4 linked regions of the Sus scrofa genome follow. The protein of the gene in region 4 binds, or shares a complex with, the protein of the main gene of each other region. Links are inferred from orthologs where the notes say so. Each region holds a gene or a part of one and is shown on either strand. Other genes may lie near its edges.

Region 1 (4,121 bases), on a different chromosome or scaffold from region 4:
CGCACTATCTGCGGGTTGCCCGAATCCTCCACCCCTGCCCTGCCCCCCTGCCTAGGGTGCCCCCCCTCCCTCACCCTTGTCCACTCTCCTTTCCGAGGCCCCCGTCAGCTCCTCTCTCTTGGCTCCTCGGCCACAATCTGCTGCTCTGATGTCGGCCTCCCCTTCTAGAGCGGGTGCCCTGCTATGTACGGTGTGAGTAAGCAAGTTGAAATGCTTTACTCATAATAATGACATGTACTAAGACACAATTACGGGACTGAGAAAGCGTCCAATCAACTCACCTATGGAGAATTCAGAGAAAGAAATGAGGGCTGGGGGCCCTCAAGAAGCTACTCAGACACGTCAGGCGTTGAGCTGCCCCTTGAAGGATGGTAGGCTTTGGGGGGGTGGGTGGCAGGCAGAGGTGGGGGAGGGGTGCTGATTCGACTGAGGGAGCAGGTGGGCCCACAGGTAAGACTCACAGGTATGACCGGGGGCCTGTGTGTCAACGTGGAAAAGGAACTAACATTGTTTCAGGAACACCTGGTTACCTAAATCAGTCACTGAGTGCACATTCATTTTAAGCCCAGCACGTGGCAGGTGTTGGGAAGAGAAAGGGAATTTACACGTCCACGGTCTAACAGGGCAGACAGGAAGCGGGTGGAGGGTGGAGAGGGAGCACAGCGGAGGGGCTGCTAAATCACTCTGGGGCGTATGGAAGGCTTTTCCCCAAGGCAAACACTTATTTACAATTGAAGAATGGGAGCTCCCTTTGTGGCTCAGTGGTTAGCGATCCTGACTAGGCTCCATGAGGTTGTGGGTTCGATCCCTGGCCTCCCTCAGGGGGTTAAGGATCCAGCAATGCCATGAGCTGTGGTGTAGGTCGCAGACGCGGCTTGGATCCGGAGTTACTGTGGCTGTGGTGTACGCCAGCGGCTACAGCTCTGATTGGACTCCTAGTCTGGGAACCTTCATAAGCTCTGAGTATGGCCCTAAAAAGCAAAAAAAAAAAAAAACCCAAAAAAACAAACAAAAAAAAAACAATTGAAGAATGGGCTGGGAAGGGATGGATGAAGAAAGGGCTGGAAAAAGAAGGCTGAGCAGAAGCAGAGCTGTGAGGTGCTGCTCAGGGGCCCAGAGAGGGCCATGTCAGCGGAGGTCAGGATTAGTTGGGTCAGGAAGTGTGGTCTGAGCTGAGCAGAACCGGTTGCTGGATGTCACCCACTGGGTTTGTTTTGCTTGCACAAAAGGGCCAGGTAGGTGGCCAGAAACCCAGGCCAGAAGAAAGACGCAAGCAGGGAGGAAGTCTGGGCTGAGCTGTGGGAGGGAAAGCAAAGGGAAGTGCTGCAGAGCAAGGGGACAGGCGGTGGCGGGCCAGACTTGGGGGACGGGTGTGCTGGCGGGGGCAGGGAGGGGAGGGGGTGTCCGGAAGCCATGTGGGCTCCTTCCTGGGCACTGAGCAGCCAACAGTGCCACCCTCATGGATAGGGAATGCCAGAGCAGGAGGTTGGGAAGAAAGGTGAGGGATTCCGCCTTGGACATGCTGAATTTGGGGTTCCTGTGGAATATCCAAGAGAAAGGCCTTGGAATCCACTGCACATGCGAGGGTGAAGCCTGGGAGGAATGGCAAGAAGATTTATACGTCTTTTAGGGCATGGGAGATAGTTAGATCCAAAGTACTGTATATACTTAGTTTATTTCACCCACAGAATTCTGTCAGCCAATACTATTATTGTTATTATTTTCTCTTTTGGTCGCCCCTCAACATATGGAATCCCCGGGTCAGGGATCAGAACCGAGCCCCAGGTGCAACCTATGCCACATCTGGAGCAATGTGGGATCCTTTAACCTGCTGTTCCAAGCCAGGGATCAAACCTGCGCCCTGGCACTGCAGAGATGCCACTGATCCCATTGCACTGCAATGGGAACTGAGGTTTTTTTGTGGGTTTTTTTTTTTTTTTTTTTTTTTTGCTTTTAAGGGCCGCACCTAGCCTATAGAAGTTCCTCAGGCTAGGTGTCGAATTGGAGCTGCAGCTGCTGGCCTATGCCAAAGCCACAGCAACCTGGGATCCTAGCCGTGTCTGCCACCTACACCACAGCTCAACGCCAGATCCTTAACCCACTGAGCAAGGCCAGGAATCAATCCTGCCACCTCATGCTTCTTAGATTCGTTTCCGCTGCTCCACAACAGGAACTCCCTAGGTTGGTATTATGAAGCCTTCATTAGAGATGAGGAAACGAGAAAGCAAGCAACTTAATCAAATCCACACAGCTTCTAAGTGCCAAAGGCAGGAATCAAAGTCAAGTCTGTCTCCAAAGCTGCTTGTCTGCTTGTTTTCTACTTCTGGAATGGCCAATACGTAAGACTCCTGCCCAGCACGGTGGAGGCAGGCGAGAAATGAAGTGGGAATGGACCAACAGCTTATAGGGCTCCTTGGAGCAAGGAAGAGAGGGCAGGAGGCAGGAATGTTCCGGACTTGACCTCAGAGGGCTGTAGGTCCAAGAGCACCCTTAGGCCAGGAAAACGCATTCGGTTTTAATCTGCAGGCAGTGAGGGACCAAGGCCTATTGTCAGCAAGGAAAAGAGAGCTGATGCGTGAAAAGCAGCGTGTCATGTGGGAGCAGCTGAGGCAGGGAGAGGAACGCGGGCGGACCTGAGTGGAAGCGGGGTGCTGGGAGACTGAGAGGGGCTCAGAACTGGGACCTGGGTAGAATTGAGCAGGAGCCAGTCACAGCCCCAGTCACCCACACCCCGTCAGGCCCTCCTGGAGGGCGCTTCTCCGCACTGTGTCCTGGACTTTTTCCCCATGACACTGAACGCAACTGTGACCTTGCTTTGTTTTACATCTGCAAGGAAATGAAGTTTGTATCTGGTCACCACTGTGTTCCCAATGCCAGCAGCACCTGGCATGTCTGGACTTGATAAATACTTGTTGAGGTGATAAAAAAAAAAATATTCCTAAGAGCCAAACCACTGGGAGCTTTTTGGAGTTTGGGGCCACTACCTTCCTCTTTGTGGCAAAAAAGCTGACCGCCCAGGTGTCCCTTTGTCCTAGGGGGGTGGCTACTCCCTCCAGGGGAATCCACCTCAGGCATGCAGGGCAGAAAGCAGGCGCTCAGACACTAGCAGCCCCAGCCCGGGCCTCAGTGACGCCCACAGGCCTTGCGCTTGGCCTTCAAGCAGTCGCGGGACTCACTATTCCTTGGCGATCTCCAGGTCCTTCCTGTGGCTCTGCAGGGCTGCCACCATCTGCCCCAGCTCCATTTGGGCGTTCCCTATGCAGCTGTACAAGTTTCCCAACAGTTCATCCTTGTTGGGCACCTCCTCTTTGCTCCATTCCAGAACCTTCTTCAGCACTTTCTCAGCTTTCTGAAGGCTGCCTTCAGCACTGCCACTGGTTAGCACTGGGAAGGGAAAGAGGTGATGTGGCGCAGGGAGCAGCCACCCCACCGGCTGACGGGAGAGCCCACCTCCCCGCCAGAGACCACCCACAGGCCAGCGAAGCCAGGGGCTCAGGCTGCTCCGTGGCTCCGACCCCACCTGGCCCAGGACCCACTCTTCTGAGGCCACCACCCACACATGTCAATGTCCTCCAGGCTCTTGAGGATGTAGTGGGCTGTCTGCGAGGGGCGGCGTTTGCGGTCCCGCAGCCACTTCTCTTGCATCAGCTTCCGGTCCCGCTCCCGGGCGTAGATGGGCTTCTGCTGCCTCCAGAAGTTACTGCGAGTGTCCAGGTAGTTGATGCCTGTCATGATGAGGTCCTCCACAGTCAGGCCGTGCTTGATGGTGCCTCTTATCAAGTCTGTGGGGAAGGGTGTGGGAGGAACCAACTAGAACAGGCATCAATGGGAGTCGCGGCCCCTCGGCTAAGGGTCTCCTGGTGGGGACCTCTATCCGGGGACTGAGGAACAGCAATGAAAGCAAGAGCACAGGGGTGGAAAAGTGGGTCTGTCTGGGTCCAGATGAGGCCAGAGCCCCCCTTTCAGCCCCCACGGTACAGGCCCCTTATGGCAAGACTAACAAAAGGGGCAACTGGGAGGTCTGTGGTGGCGCAGCGGGTTAAGGATCTGGCATTGTCACTGCTGTGGCACAGGTTCAATCCCTGGTCCAGGAACTTGTGCATGCCACAAGTGCAGCCAAA
Region 2 (4,920 bases), on a different chromosome or scaffold from region 4:
ATGGAAACAAGTGATGCAAAGGGCTGAGAAGGGTGGTCTCCCACGACCAGAAGGGACATTAAAGATGTGACTATAACGATCTCGGAGCAGCCCTAACATGTCTCCACTTATGCTGTTTGATCAACTCTATGTCAAGAACAAAAGGCTGTGAGTCTCCAAATAACAGAGATGCCAAAGAAAGTACATTCTCAAACGGCAGGTGGTAGTCAATAAGAAGACCATTTTGTTGAATAACTGTGAAGCTTTGACCAAAATGAAAAAACAAAATAAAAACCACTGTGTAAGACTATAGGTAGAAAACCAGATATGAAATGAAGTGAGTGAGTCATTTACAGGCAGAATACTTGAGTGAGGAATTTAATTCAAGGTGGACATCAGTAATGTAGTCAATTTTATAAAAATAGAGCCTTGAAATGTTAAGAAACTTAGCCAATGATTCACAATGAGGAGGATGTGATGTTGGGTCCCCTGCACTGATGCTCGCTGCTCAGAGCACTGTGGGGACTACAAACACTAAGGGCCAGGGTGAGCTCTGAGTTGCTGACTCTCCTTGAAGACAGGCATCCAGGTTTGCTGGTGTTTTCTGTGACGTGCAGCCCTCATCTACCAGAGAGATGCCTGTGCCACGACCAGTAGGGGGAGGGCTGGGTGAATAGTAAAAACGCAACAACCACGCGTGACAAACACAACAGGAAATGTGGGACAGACACAACTCCCTCAGCTGACACAGGGCATCTGTGAGAAATGCACAGCTGACACCACACATGATGGTGAACTACTGGGTGCATTCCCTCCAGTGCAGGAAACAAAGCAAGGGTTTCCGCTCTTACACTTCTCTTCAACATCATGCTGAACATGTAATGCAAAAGCGGGAACCCTTTCTTCATTCCCCGTGTTGGAGAGAAAGTGCCCAATATTTCACCATTAAAGGAAGATTGGAAAATAAGTAAAAATGTCTTTATTTGTAAAGAACATTATCATTGCTATAGAAAATCTTAAATAATTATAAAAAAATCTAATAGAAGTAGTATATGAGTTTAGTATGGTCCCAGCATACAAAAGCAACATGCAAATATCAATTACATTTTATGTACTATCACATATTAAATATTGCTTTTATATTAGCATCAAAAATACTTATAAGTGGGAGTTCCCGTTGTGGCGCATCAGAAACAAATCCAACTAGTATCCATGAAGATGAAGGTTCAATCCCTGACCTCGCTCAGTGGGTCGGGGATCTGGCGTTGCCGTGAGCTGTGGTACAGGTTGCAGACATGGCTTGGGTCCCACACTGCTGTGACTGTGGCACAGGTATAGCTCTGATTCAACCCCTAGCCTAGGGCCTTCCATAAGCCACACTCGCAGCCCTAAAAAACAAAACAAAACAAAACAAAAAAAACCCAAACTTATAAGTAAGTTCCCTCATGGATCAGCAGATTAAGGATCCAGTGTTGTAACTCCTGTGGCTCTGGTCCTATCCCTGGCCCAGGAACTTACACACACTGAGAGTATGGCAAAAAAAAAAAAAAAAAAAAAAAAAAAAAAAAAAAAAAAAAAAAAAAAACTTATGTAAAAATTGATGCTCAGCTATGTACACTTAAAACCTCAAAGCAATGCTGAGAAAAACTAACAAAGACCTAAAGAAATGGAGAGATATACCATGTTCATGGATCAGAAAAAATCAATACCATGAAGACATCGGTTCTCCCCAAATTGCTACATAGATATGATGCAACCCCAATCAACACCTCAGCACGACCTTTTTTGAGGACAAACTGACAAGCTTATTCTAAAACTCATATGAAATGAAATGCAAGCCAGGCAGGGGCAAATCTTTGAGAACCATGGAAACCACGCTTCCTGGCTTGGAGTTTTTCTCGCAGGCACTGAGAAGGCATTTCAACATTAAGCAGAAGGACGACATGACTGACCAGTGTTTTAGCTACATCACACTGAAATCCCATGAGCAGCTTCCCGGCGGATGCAGGAGCAGAGCATGGACTGTGTGGCAGTGAGCGTGTGCATTACCTACACCCTGAGAAGGTGGGTGAGAGGAAAGGGCAGAGCCGATGGGGTCCTGAAAAGGAGACATGGGGTCATGATGACAGTGACTTCCTTCTGGCTGTGCCTGAGCAGGAATGAGGAGATGGGCAGCCTCCTCTGGAGAGCATCTTCAGGAGGATGCAGGCTTCCAAGAAGAAAGATGGAGAGAAGCTCTGTACACAGAAGGCAAGTTCAGCAAATGTTCACAGGTAAAAGGGGCTGTTGCACAGCTGATGGGGTTGGAGAGACTGGGGCTCAGGAAAGGAGGGGGGGTGGGGAAGCAGGAATGTGTGGAGGGAGGAGGCAACTCCAAGACGATGGAATGGGGAGTGTGGGTGGAAGGGCCTGGTCCAGGCAGCCTTTGATGTCCAGGAAGAACCAGGCTGGCCTGAGGATAAACCTGTGACCACACAGAGGATCAGGATCACTGCCAGGCGGTTGTCTCTCCCTCTGGCCCCCTCAGAAAGGGGTGGGTGCCTTGTCCCTTGGGCAGTTCTATGGACAGCACAGCAGCCAGAGCCAGGCTCGGGGCCATGACCGAACAGGCAGTGGGAAGATCCTGGCAGTGTCCTTTGGCTACAGTGGTCAGCTCTGTGAAGCCAGGAGGGTCAGCTGGTCCCCAGGTGAGAGTGAGAAAAGGAGGGACTGACTAATGGAGCTAGAAACTCTCCACAGACCTGCCTGTGGGGATGGGGTGAAGGGCAGACAGAGGCCCTGGGGGGCAGGCAGGGGGGCAGCCCAGTGCTGCTGGAGGGGCTGAGGAGCATCAGGGGAGAGAAAGTGGTGAGAGACCAGGCTGGCTAAAGTCACCCCAGAATGCTCACCACTATCCCTACAGGATAGCACTGGTCCAACTCAAAGTAATTTATGCAGATAACTAAGCTTTATCTTTTCCTCTTATTAAAGTCCTTTCATAATAGATCTGTAAGTTACTTGGAAACCAACTCTATGATGTCATTTCCTACACAGCTTCCAAGGGCCTCCCTCATAAAATGTCCACACTAAGTGAAACAGTTTCTTCACCTTGAGAATCCCAGCTGTTTATCATGGTGAAAGTCCAGTGAATTGGGAGCCCAAGAGAAAACTGCTCTGCACACAGAATTTAGCATTGACAGCTCTCACAGTCACTTTCATGCACTTTGTACTCACAAAAGTAACCCCCTCGGGGCTGCGTGAACTTTGAGAAGTTCTGTGTTTCCAGCAGGGCCCAGATTAAGCAGTTTTTGATTATTCAATTGCTGACTGATTTGATCTGAGCTAACTGTTCAGGCTTAGTTGCCTCACTCAGAAAAGCCCTTGGGACAAAAACCTGCGTCTACTCTGCACAGGCCACAAAACCTACAAACAGAAATTACAACAGGCCTTGAGGTACGCTCAGCACACTCCTGCAGGCCCACGGCTCATTCTAAAGTCTGAATATACAAACCTGAAAACGTCCCAAGAATGCAGTGAACGCTCTGAAGTTTGCCGGTATGTTGACAAAACCCACCCCTAATAAATACCTGCCTCCCTGAGAAAGGTTTGCCAGACCTGCAGTGAGGCCAGAGCTCAGCCCATGCTCAGAGAAGTGACAGATGCCACCACACCTTTGTGAAGATTTGGCTAAAAGGACAATATGGAGGAAAGACATGGTTGGTGGGGGAGCCCACCAAGGCTTCTCAGTAGGCTCGGGACTTTTGCTGGTAGATTTGACTTCTACCAGCCCTTCCTCGGCTTTTCCACTTTAAGGGAATGGGGCTGGGGGAGGGGGGGTAGGCCTGAAGCTTGTGAAGGAAGAACAGAGCCAGAGCTGCTGGCCCTGGTGCACAAGGACCTCGCAGTGTTTGTCTGCCGAGGCACCTGCCCATGAGGGACTCCCACCTGTGGTGTCCCTTTGGCGCACCTGGTAGGAGAGGAGGGGCTCACAGCTTCTCTTATTGACCAGTGACCACTAATCTTCAAGTTGCTTGTGTTTAGAAGGAGCCCTACAGCGGTTCACTAAAGGTTTGCCTCGGCTCTGTCATCTGACAGGAGTCACCCAGGTTTTGGGGTGAGTGTATGAGGTTGATCCCTCCCCCATTTGTTCCCTACAATCCCATCACTATCATTTCATATCAGTTAACTGTTCTCAGGGAATTTGCTTTAGGATCATACAGGTCCTGCCTTCACCAAGCATCCTCACCTTGATTTCAAACAGCATCCCAACCCTCCATTCAACAAACAAATGGAACATGGAAAGAAAGTCAAAAACCTCAGTTGGGTGTTAACGGTTGGCAGAATTTTTCTACTTTCAGTTTAACAATGACAGTACATGTACTATAAAATAACTTGCATTATTTTATAAAAGACAAATAACAATTTGTATCTCATTTCCGAGGCTCAACAAGTGACACGTTGCAGAATATTCTAGGTTTTGTGCTCAAGACGAAGCTAACCCATGTTTTTGCGGTTCTAATTCAAAGAGGGTGGGTGTCTCATCTGTGTTCAGAACAGAAGGTCCTCTTAAAGATGTGAAGACTACCCTTTGTTTGCAGTCACAGAAACTGTCTTTCAAATAACTAAAGGATCCGTTTTACCGGGATATTTTCCAGGAAAGCAAGGTCAGGCTGTATCCCAAAGCTAGTGTCAGTTATCAGCTTGCCTTCGTTTGGGAGGGTGCCTCTTTAACCAGCTTAAAAATCGCCAGGGGTTTTCTCCAGACTCCACTGACAGCCTCCACCCCCACCTCAAGAATGAATGAGGGGAAAACAAACAACTATTCCAAGTTCCTTTTGATCTCAATAACATCACCCAAAACTGGAAGATAACTCCTTGCGGACTCCCACCTGACATCAGAGGAAAAGGACTGAGAGCAAGTCCCTCGCCCGCCCTTCTGCTTCTGCAGAGCAGTGGCCGCAC
Region 3 (3,826 bases), on a different chromosome or scaffold from region 4:
CCATGGGTACCCTCCTCCCTGGTCCTTGGAAAGGGTGGCTTTTGGGAATGTCCCAGGGTCCAGTCTTACAGAGTCTGTCTCTGGTCCCTCCTGTGCTCAGAGAACTAACTCCTCTTCCCCCACCATCCCTAGGAGGAACCAGCCACTTCACTGGGTCAGGGGCCCAGAGGACCGAGGTATGGAGTCCAGAGAGGATCCGAAGGGTCTGATTTGAGGGGAGAAGGGGTCCAGGGGGGCAGGAACCTGGAGTTTCTGGACCTGGTAGCCGCCAGGGATGTGAGACCCCGGAGCCCCAGCTCCCCTTACCAGGGCGAGCTCCTTGCCCGCTGTCCGCTCCATGATCCGCAACCGTCCCGCTCCGCCGACGCGGCTGAGTGAGGCGGAAGGGCCTGCGGGTCGCGGGCAGTGGCTGGGCGTTGGGCCGGCTGGGCGGGGCGGCCGGGCCGCGCGGGGGCGGAGCGGGGTGGACCCAGGGCTCTCGGATATCCCTGTGGGACCCCAGCTCCCAGCCCAGGCCCCTGGAGAAGCCTGGGCTCTCCGGATAGGTGTGTATTCTGCACCGGGAGAAAGGCCCCTCTCTCTCTCCTAGGGGCAGGCTCTTTTTTTGTGTCCTTAGGTGTGTGGGGGAGTGTGTATAGCTAAGTGGGGGACAGACTTGAGACCTTAGATGGGGAGGGCTGGTCTGCTCCAGGTATGGAGGCATCTCCCATTTTTCTGGAGGGACAGGGTGAGCTCAGTGGTGTCCCTAGCTGATGGAAGTCATCACTCCCCAGGTCAGAGAGAGCTGAATCTGTGGTCCTGGGTTTGAGGGGTAGCTGTCTTTGGGGCAGTGCAGGATCAAGGAGAGGGGAATACACAGGGGGCTTGTTGGTGACCTTTATTGCGCGATTCTGAGGCTGGTGCGGACCAGCCTGAGATTTACTGTGGGAACATCCGGCGGCCCAGCCCCCTTCTCCACTCCTCGCGTCACCCGCCCAGTCGGCTCCCTTGTGCGGGCTGCGATCAGCCCTTGAAGGGGCCCCCCTTTGGGCCCGCAGCTGGGCCCAGAGGGATTGGGGTGGGGGTGCTCCGCAGGGGCCCGGAAGCGCCAGGTGGGCGCGAGGGCGCGTCTAGGACTTCCGAGAGCGACCGCGCCTCTTGCTGCGGGATTCGATTAATTTCTGGGAACGCATCTTGAGCGCTGCACGGGTCACCACCTCGTTGTCTTCCTCCTCACTCTCCTCTTCGTCTGCGAAGGGCGATGAGGGGATCAAGGTTCCCCTTCGTGACTCAGCTTTCCCTTCCCACCCCCACCTTGGCCCTAGGTCCGGTCCCTGACTACCTCCCAAAGCTCTGCTAGGGCCCCCAGTCCCACCCCCTTTTCCTGCCCAGACAGACCGAAGAACTTGTCCTTGTGACCAGCAAGAGGCAGGGCGATGCGGGTGTTGTAGGAAGGCAGCTTTCCCTCTAGGGTGGAGAAGAACTGGGGGAGGTGGGAGCGGGAGAGAAGAGTGTGAATGCACAGGGCTGCAGGGAAGTGCATCTCCCCCACCCCCCAAGATACACCCCAATCCCATTCAGCACCTCTGCCCACTCCTGTAAAGTTTTCCTTGGGCACAGCCGTATCATTTGTTCCCAGTGCTCACTCTGATGCCCAGCAACACCCCACCTTCAGGCCCGCCCCTAGTCTCTAGGTCCTACCCCTTGGCCTGACCCCTGTACCCCACAAGCCCAGACTTCTGGGCTGCCAGGGCCCTCAGGAAACTCTCCTGGCTCAATCTGGGCTCCTTAAACCTCACCCGTTGTCCCTGAAGCCCATTCCCAGCCCACTGGCCCCCTCCCTGGTCTCCAAAGTGTGGTCCTGACTCCCTGGTTTTCCGCCCCAGCCCCTGCATCCTCAGCCCCACCCTCTGGCTGAATGAGCACCTCTCGGTCGGCAATGTGGCGCAGCATCTCTGGCACATTGTGGTTCTGGAGTTTCGCCTGCAGCTTCAACAATTTTTCCTCCACGAGGCCCAGTAGGTTGGGCAAATAGTCACTTGCCTTGGGATCCAGCTCCTTTCCCGCGAAGCCGCTGGCCTCCTGTGGCAGGGGCGGAGCTCTGTCAGCCAGGAGGGACGGGGCCTCCAGGAAAGGTCTCACCCAGGCAGGGGGCTTTTCCTCTTAGGGATAAGGCCTTTGAAGTGAGGGGTGACTAACAAGAGCGGTGCTACCCTTTATGAACAAAGGCTACGCTTGTGAGGCAAGGCCTCTGAACTCCAGAGACCCAAGCCAGGGGGTAATGGGAGGGGGATGAGTCTTTTAGTGGGAGGAAGGCCATTGTCAGGCTGACCTTCTGAAGAAATGGGACTCTGCAGTGGGCAGGGTGGGACTTCTCTTGTCTGTGGCTGCTCCAGGATTGGAGGGGGGGTTCTCTTAAGTCTTCGGTGGGTGTGGGGGGCAAGGTAGGACTTTCCTGTGGAGGCGGGACTTGAAATGGGATAAGGTCTCTGAAGTCCTGGGCCTCTTGAGGAGTAAGGGGGTCTCCTCTTGGACGCTGGCTGAGGACTCTGAGGAGCAGGTTGGAGTTTCCCCTGTGTTCGGGCCTCTCATGTACTGGACAGGGCATGGGGTGGGTTCTCTTGAGTGGACTTTGGGGCGGGAATCCACCTGCGTGATGGTGGAGCTGCCTCTCACGTCCTGCGGGGCTCTGGGCGGAGCTTCCTCAGGGGCGGAGTCTGCTACTGTGATGTGGTCTAGCTTGCTTGCCAGGTGTTCCAGGGCCTCCTTGGTCATATGCATTGCCCGCATGGTACGCTCCAGCCTATCCTGCACATCAGCACGCCGCTGCTCCTCCGCCTTGATGCGCTCCTGCAACTCGACTTGCAGCTTCTGTTCGCTGCAGGAAGAAGGCAGTCTGAGATGGGAGCAGTACTGAACTTCCCCAACAAGGCACCACTCTCTCCCTGAGGCACCCGGGCCTCACCTCATCAGCATGGCCTCTCCTGAGTACTTGAGGTCTTCCAGCTCCTTCTGCAGCCTCTGCTTCTCTTGCTTCAGCCTCAGCAGCATCTGCTCGTTCTCGATCTTGAGTGTCTCCAACTGTGTGAAGGTTTCTCCCTGTGCCAGGAACCGCCGCACCACCGCCTGCGGGCCGCCCAGCCCAAATCAGAGCCAGGGCCTATGCAGGCATGGGTGTACCCCTCTTCCTTTCCCCCGGACACACAGGACAGGTGGCCTGAGCTGGTGGCTTCTGCCCACTGGTGTTCAGGCGCTCTGTGAGTCGGACTGGTGGCCAGTCTGTGAGTCGGACTGGTATGAGTCGTCCAGGGTGTGCGACCCCGGACGAATGATTTTTTACGGCCCCTTCCTTGTCTAGATAAGGAAATTGAATCAGCCAAAATCACATTGTGGGGCAGCGACAGCAGTGAAGCACAGCTACTTTCCAAAGTCTATAGTGCCAGCAACATTCTGGCAGTAACTCTTGCCCCCTCCAGGAAGGGGTTGTGAGAGAGATCTGCCCATTAGGCCAACTTCTGGAAAGGTGCTCAACTACAGTGCTCCAGATGACCCCATAGGTCCAAGTTCTGGAACCCCTTGTGAGTCAGCCCATGGGAGGAGTAATAGATTCGAGGGTGCCCAAAGTGGAGAAACCCAACAGAGGTCCAGGGGAATCACAGTGTTTTCCAGCCAGGGACCTATGGTCTTAGAAAATTTCAAGGAATCCATGGCCTTTCTCAGTGGGTTAAGGATCCAGTGTAGCTGTGAGCTGTGGTGTAGACATGTCTCAGATCCTGTGTTGCTATGGCTGTGGTATAGATTGGCAGCTATAGCTCCGATTCAACTCCTGGCCTGGGAATTTCCATAT
Region 4 (4,604 bases):
CCTGGGAACCTCCACGTGCCACAGGTGCAGCCCTAAAAAGAGAACAATAAAAAATAAAGAAATAAAGAAAAATAAGGGTGATCAGGCAAGGCTTCTCTGAGAAGGTGACATCTAAGCTGAGACTTGAAGGCAGGAGTCATTTGAATGCTGGCGGGGGGTGGGGGGAGGAAGTGCACAGGCCTTTGAGAACAAGCTCAGGTTGTTTGGGGAGCAGACAGAAGGGCCAGTGTGGCTAGAACGTAGGGAGCTAGAGGGAGTGGTAGGAAGGGAAATCAAAGAGGCCCTTGAAGCCCAGAGGAGGAGTTTGGATTTTATTCTAAGTGCAGTGGGAAACCATTGGAGGGTTTTAAACAGAAGTGCAGTACCAGGGACTTAATGTAAACTATAATAATAATGATATTATTATTATTTATTCTTGGGTTACTGTGCTGGGATGGGAGGTGATGACCACTATGTACCTGGGTCTCTTGGCAGGCTTGGGTGCTGTTGGGTGTACCTGGGTGTTGGCAAGGACAAGGGAACTAGGTGCCTGGGGTTCTGATGTGGAGTGAAAGCTGGAGAACTGAAAATCCTGGGTCCCTCCAAGGGAAGGGAACTGGATGAGGGGATGTCTGGGTATATGATGGGGCCACAACTAGAAGACCGAAAGCAGCTGGTCATCTGGGCTCCTTGAAGGTGTGAGGGAGGGGCGGTCCAGTAACCCGGGAGACCTGGAAGCTGGGTACCACTGTAGCACAGACTCTATAGAGACACACTGGCTAGATTCAAATAAAAGCTGCTTGACTCATTAACTGTGATTTGGGGGCAAGTTACTAATTTTGCTATGCCTCAGTTTCTGTCTGTAAAATAGGTATAATAATAGTAAATACATCACAGAGCAGTTCTTAGAGGAGTGACTGGCACATAGTAAGCACTGTGGTAAGTGCTTGTGATGCTAGTCATTGGGGCTCTGAGTGGATTCAGTACTGGGAGACCTGAGATCAAGGTCTCTAGGATTTGGGGAAGTGGCAAATTCTTGGGTCCATTGGGCCCAAGGCTAAAAAGTTGGGAGTACAAAATGAAAATACTAAATAAAATGGGGGGGGGATAAGTAGTTCCATCTTACATCTTGGAGAAGAACAGAGACTGGGGGTCTGAACTCAGGCCCTGAATAAGTTAGAAAGTCTGGGTCACTGGAGGAAACATGAGACCTGAGATCCCATGCTCTTCCTGGAGTGGAGGTAAATTGGATTGGACCTGGGTCCTGGGAGGAGTCTGGGAACCAGGGGCTAGGGAAATGAAAATCTGAGCGGGAGGAAGTGGAGAACAGGAGGCTAGACCTCTGAATCAAGTTCCCTGAGTGGAATCAGCGCCGGAGTTGGGTACCCTGGGGATGTTCCAGGCGGGGGTCCCCCATGCTAGGATCCTGTAGAAGGGGGGAAACTCAAGGGACTCGTGGTGGGATCTCCCCTATCTGGGCCTCCAAGGCCACGAGCTGAGCGCCAGCGGGTCGCTTCCTCCCACAGGAAACCGCAGGCGTCAGACACACCCAGCCTGCAGGGAGCTGCGCCCACTGCCCTCCCGCTTGGAGGAGGCCCACGTGGGCAGCAGCCTGCCGTCAAGGGGGCGTGCCCTGTGGCGCGAGGGGGCGTGACCACAGGGCGGGGCCGGAAAGCGGGACAACACAGAGCGCCCTAGACCCCGCCCACTTCCGCCTCTCAGTGCGCGGACCTCTTAAGTGGTTGAGGGGTTTTGGCTGCCTTTCCCGAGGCCGTTGGCCGCGCATGCGTAGTGCGCCGCTTCGAGGACCTGAGGCAGTGGTGAGCGCTCCTTCCCCTAGCAACTCCCAGCATCGGCACCGCCACCTTGCTAATGAATCCTCAAAATAACGTGATCTTAATCATCTGAAGACGCGCATCTCTCGCGCCCCATCCCGAAACACCTTGGCCCAGCTCCAAAACCTTCCAGACGTTTCCCTCCCAGCCCCGCCTCCACAGACTCCTTTGGCTCAGATATCCCCTCCCGGAAACACACATCGCGCCCCTGACGACCCCAACAGACCATCAGGACCTCCCCCAAGCTTTCCAAGCCTGAGTGCCTCCTAGTTAGCCCTGTCTACCACAAGCTCTGGAATCCGCGTACTTCCTGCGCCCTCCCACCAGGCCCCTCACGTGTTCTTCCAACCACGCCCCTCACCAGCCCCCGAAGCCCCACCCTTCACAAGGCCCGCAGCCACGCCCTTTACAGGTATCCTTGCACCCCTCCCTCAGGGCCCCGAAGCTCCGCCCTGCACCGGTATCTGCGTCCCTGCCTTCACAAGGTCCCCCAGCCACAACCCTCTTGGGCCCCTCCAGCCCTGCCCTTCCTTCGCAAGCCCTGAAGCCCACACCCTCAGGCCGGCCTCGCCTCAGAGGCCCTTCCAGCCCCGCCCATCGTAGGCCTCTACGGCTCCGCCCCTCGCAAGGCCTCCAGCCCCGCCCCTCGTAAGGCCTAGAGCCCCGCCCCCTCAGCCCTCCAGTCCCGCCGCTTGCTGGGCTCCCCTAGCACATCTGTTCACAGCACCCGAGCTCCCCGCAGGTCTCCTCGCGGCCTCCTAGCCCCTCCTCCCCAGCCGCCCCTCCCACGGCTTTCTTCTGTGGCCTTGGTCCCTCCCCGGCTGCTGTCCCCAGGCCTCATTGGTCTCTTATCTCCCCAGTAACCAGACCACAACACTGAGCTTGGAGTACCCAGGACAGGTCCAGCACTCCGGCAGGTAGGGACCGGCCTCGCTCCCCTCAGCCGACGGGGGTGGGGTGGTTCTCCTTCCTCTGTGAGCCGCCTCCCCAAACCGCCCCCATCAGAGATACCGAGAGCCTAGAGGACCTGTCCCCCGCGCCAGAATCAGAGCCGCGACGCAAGACAGAGAGTGTGAGAGGTGGGAGGTCGGGAGGGGCATGGCAAGAGGCCTGAGAGATGCCCCCTCCAACCCGCTGGAGGGATTGCGACCCAAAGAGAGGCCAGAGCTGGTTCTGGGATCAGTTCCTAGCCTTTTGCCTTTCATCACCCACCCTCCTAGCCCTCTCCTGCTCGCCTCCTGAAGGGGTCCTCTTTGGCCAAGATGCCTTTGGGACTCTCTGCTGGGAGCACCCGCTCCGAAGATGGAAGCGAGGCCTTCTTGGAGGGAATGGGTAATTCGTACATTCTTGATTCATTCTTTCCCTCAGTTTGTCCTGTTTCAGGTCCTGTGCAGCTGGGGCCCCGTGGATGGGGAGGCTTTTCAGGACAGCCCTGTGGAGGCGGGGAGCAGATAGTAGCCCAAGCCTGGGGAGTGGGATGGCCAGGAAGACTTCCTGTAGGAGGAGACGTTTGAGTGGGGCCCAGAACTGCTCCCAGGAATTTCCACCAGGAGAAGGAAGGGAAGAGTGAGCAGAAAGAACAGCATGTGACCAAAGCAAGGTTCTTCCGCCTCCACACCGTTGACACCTGGGGTCAGAACGTTCTTTGCTATGGGTGGGGGCGTCCTGGGCATTGGAGGGTACTAGGTGCATCCCTGCGCCCCCGCCCCCCCCCCTGCTGCACACCAGAAGCACCCGCAATCCATGCCTGCACAGTCAAAAATGTCTCCAGACATGGCCAAATGTCCTTAGGGGGTAGAATTGCTCCTGGTTGAGAACGGCTGGGAGATGGGGAAATGGTGGAGAGCCTGGAGCGGTGGGTAGGATTGGGTTTGTGGGGCCTCGAACACCAGGCTGGGGAGCTGGGACTTTGTCCAGGGTGAGTCCTGGGTCTAGGGCTTCTGTGGCTGTGAGGAAAGGCCGGCAGGTTGAAGAGGAGGAGGGGGTAATGATGGTTCAGGGAGAGAGAATGAGGCCTGAACCTAGGGGATGGGCTGAGGATGAGGAGGCAGGAGGGTGGGAATTAGCACTGCTGGGTGGGTGTTGGGGCAGAAAGGAAGGGAGGGAAGGAGAGTGGTGCCTCTGGGGGCCTAGGCTCCTGTCCTCAGCTTTCCCAAGTGCCAGGTTGGTGCTTTGGTCCCTGAGGACTGTGAGGCCTCCAGGAGTGCCCTCTAGTGGGGAGACAGTTGTATGCAACCATCTGCGGCAGGAGTGGTTTTAGGGAAAAAATGGGGAAGTCAGCTTGCAGTGCAGGGAGTATGAAGGGGTGAGGAAGCCTGGGGATACAGAAACTGAGATGCAGCCCTAGAATGGTGCTGGCAACTGAGCCTGCAGTTTCGTTGCAGAGCCAAAATTCCTAGGTCCTGGGGAGGAAGGGCCTGGGAGCTGGGTTCCTCCTGAGTCCCTGGCTTCGTCCTGCCTCAGTGGATTGGGAGCTGAGCAGACTGCAGCGGCAATGCAAAGTGATGGAGGGTGAAAGGCGAGCCTACAGCAAGGAAGTCCACCAGCGCATCAACAAGCAACTGTGAGCCAGGCGCCTGGGTCCCTAGAGCTGGGGATGGGCTGTTAATGAGGCTGGGGGCTGGGTTCCCGGGGCTGTGGCCAAAGGGCAGGCCCAGAATGTCAGGACGTTAGTGATGCTGAGCTCTGCCCCTTTCCTGCCTTCCCTCCACTTCCCTGTCTGGGCAGCGGGGAAATCCAGCGCCTGGAGGGGGTGCGGGACAAGTTGCAGGTGCAGATCAGCATTGCCCA

Evidence for each region.
Region 1: CCDC114 (region 4) and TTC25 share a complex: the UniProt entries of both Homo sapiens proteins name them as parts of the outer dynein arm-docking complex. The link is inferred for Sus scrofa from reciprocal best matches to the Homo sapiens genes ODAD1 and ODAD4.
Region 2: CCDC114 (region 4) and EFCAB1 share a complex: the UniProt entries of both Homo sapiens proteins name them as parts of the outer dynein arm-docking complex. The link is inferred for Sus scrofa from reciprocal best matches to the Homo sapiens genes ODAD1 and CLXN.
Region 3: the proteins of CCDC114 (region 4) and CCDC151 are in contact, whole or in part, in a cryo-EM structure (PDB 9CPB), measured with the Bos taurus proteins. The link is inferred for Sus scrofa from reciprocal best matches to the Homo sapiens genes ODAD1 and ODAD3. Residues at the interface, in XP_024834988.1 of Bos taurus: Leu31, Gln32, Gln34, Cys35, Met38, Glu41, Arg42, Tyr45, Val49, Arg52, Ile53, Gln56, Leu57, Glu59, Ile60, Leu63, Glu64, Val66, Arg67, Leu70, Arg71, Gln73, Ile74, Ala77, Gln78, Asp86, Arg89, Leu90, Ser92, Met93; in NP_001095517.1 of Bos taurus: Gln69, Leu73, Lys76, Ile77, Leu79, Leu80, Asp83, Arg84, Phe87, Tyr88, Thr91, Asn94, Ile95, Asn98, Gln99, Thr101, Ile102, Leu105, Arg106, Glu108, Thr109, Leu112, Gln113, Gln115, Leu116, Leu119, Gly122, Asp123, Val126, Ala129.

Annotation. Positions count from the first base shown.
Region 1 is NC_010454.4:20,781,061-20,785,181, forward strand, and holds part of TTC25 (tetratricopeptide repeat protein 25), read right to left. Parts: intron 3,783-4,121; coding exon 3,558-3,782; intron 3,385-3,557; coding exon 3,177-3,384; intron 1-3,176. UniProt on the Homo sapiens protein: Component of the outer dynein arm-docking complex (ODA-DC) that mediates outer dynein arms (ODA) binding onto the doublet microtubule. Plays an essential role for the assembly of ODA-DC and for the docking of ODA in ciliary axoneme.
Region 2 is NC_010446.5:79,373,688-79,378,607, forward strand, and holds the start of EFCAB1 (EF-hand calcium-binding domain-containing protein 1), read left to right. Parts: upstream 1-1,806; 5' UTR 1,807-1,981; coding exon 1,982-2,252; intron 2,253-3,012; exon of another isoform or gene 3,013-4,920. UniProt on the Homo sapiens protein: Component of the outer dynein arm-docking complex (ODA-DC) that mediates outer dynein arms (ODA) binding onto the doublet microtubule. Seems to regulate the assembly of both ODAs and their axonemal docking complex onto ciliary microtubules.
Region 3 is NC_010444.4:70,087,259-70,091,084, forward strand, and holds the end of CCDC151 (coiled-coil domain-containing protein 151), read right to left. Parts: intron 3,106-3,826; coding exon 2,945-3,105; intron 2,858-2,944; coding exon 2,629-2,857; intron 2,062-2,628; coding exon 1,906-2,061; intron 1,463-1,905; coding exon 1,378-1,462; intron 1,229-1,377; coding exon 1,110-1,228; 3' UTR 861-1,109; downstream 1-860. Other genes in the region: RGL3 (ral guanine nucleotide dissociation stimulator-like 3), read right to left, coding at 307-339. UniProt on the Homo sapiens protein: Component of the outer dynein arm-docking complex (ODA-DC) that mediates outer dynein arms (ODA) binding onto the doublet microtubule. Involved in mediating assembly of both ODAs and their axonemal docking complex onto ciliary microtubules.
Region 4 is NC_010448.4:53,751,586-53,756,189, reverse strand, and holds the start of CCDC114 (coiled-coil domain-containing protein 114), read left to right. Parts: upstream 1-1,681; 5' UTR 1,682-1,799; intron 1,800-2,207; exon of another isoform or gene 2,208-2,226; intron 2,227-2,476; exon of another isoform or gene 2,477-2,674; 5' UTR 2,675-3,076; coding exon 3,077-3,146; intron 3,147-3,182; exon of another isoform or gene 3,183-4,277; coding exon 4,278-4,377; intron 4,378-4,541; coding exon 4,542-4,604. UniProt on the Homo sapiens protein: Component of the outer dynein arm-docking complex (ODA-DC) that mediates outer dynein arms (ODA) binding onto the doublet microtubule. Involved in mediating assembly of both ODAs and their axonemal docking complex onto ciliary microtubules.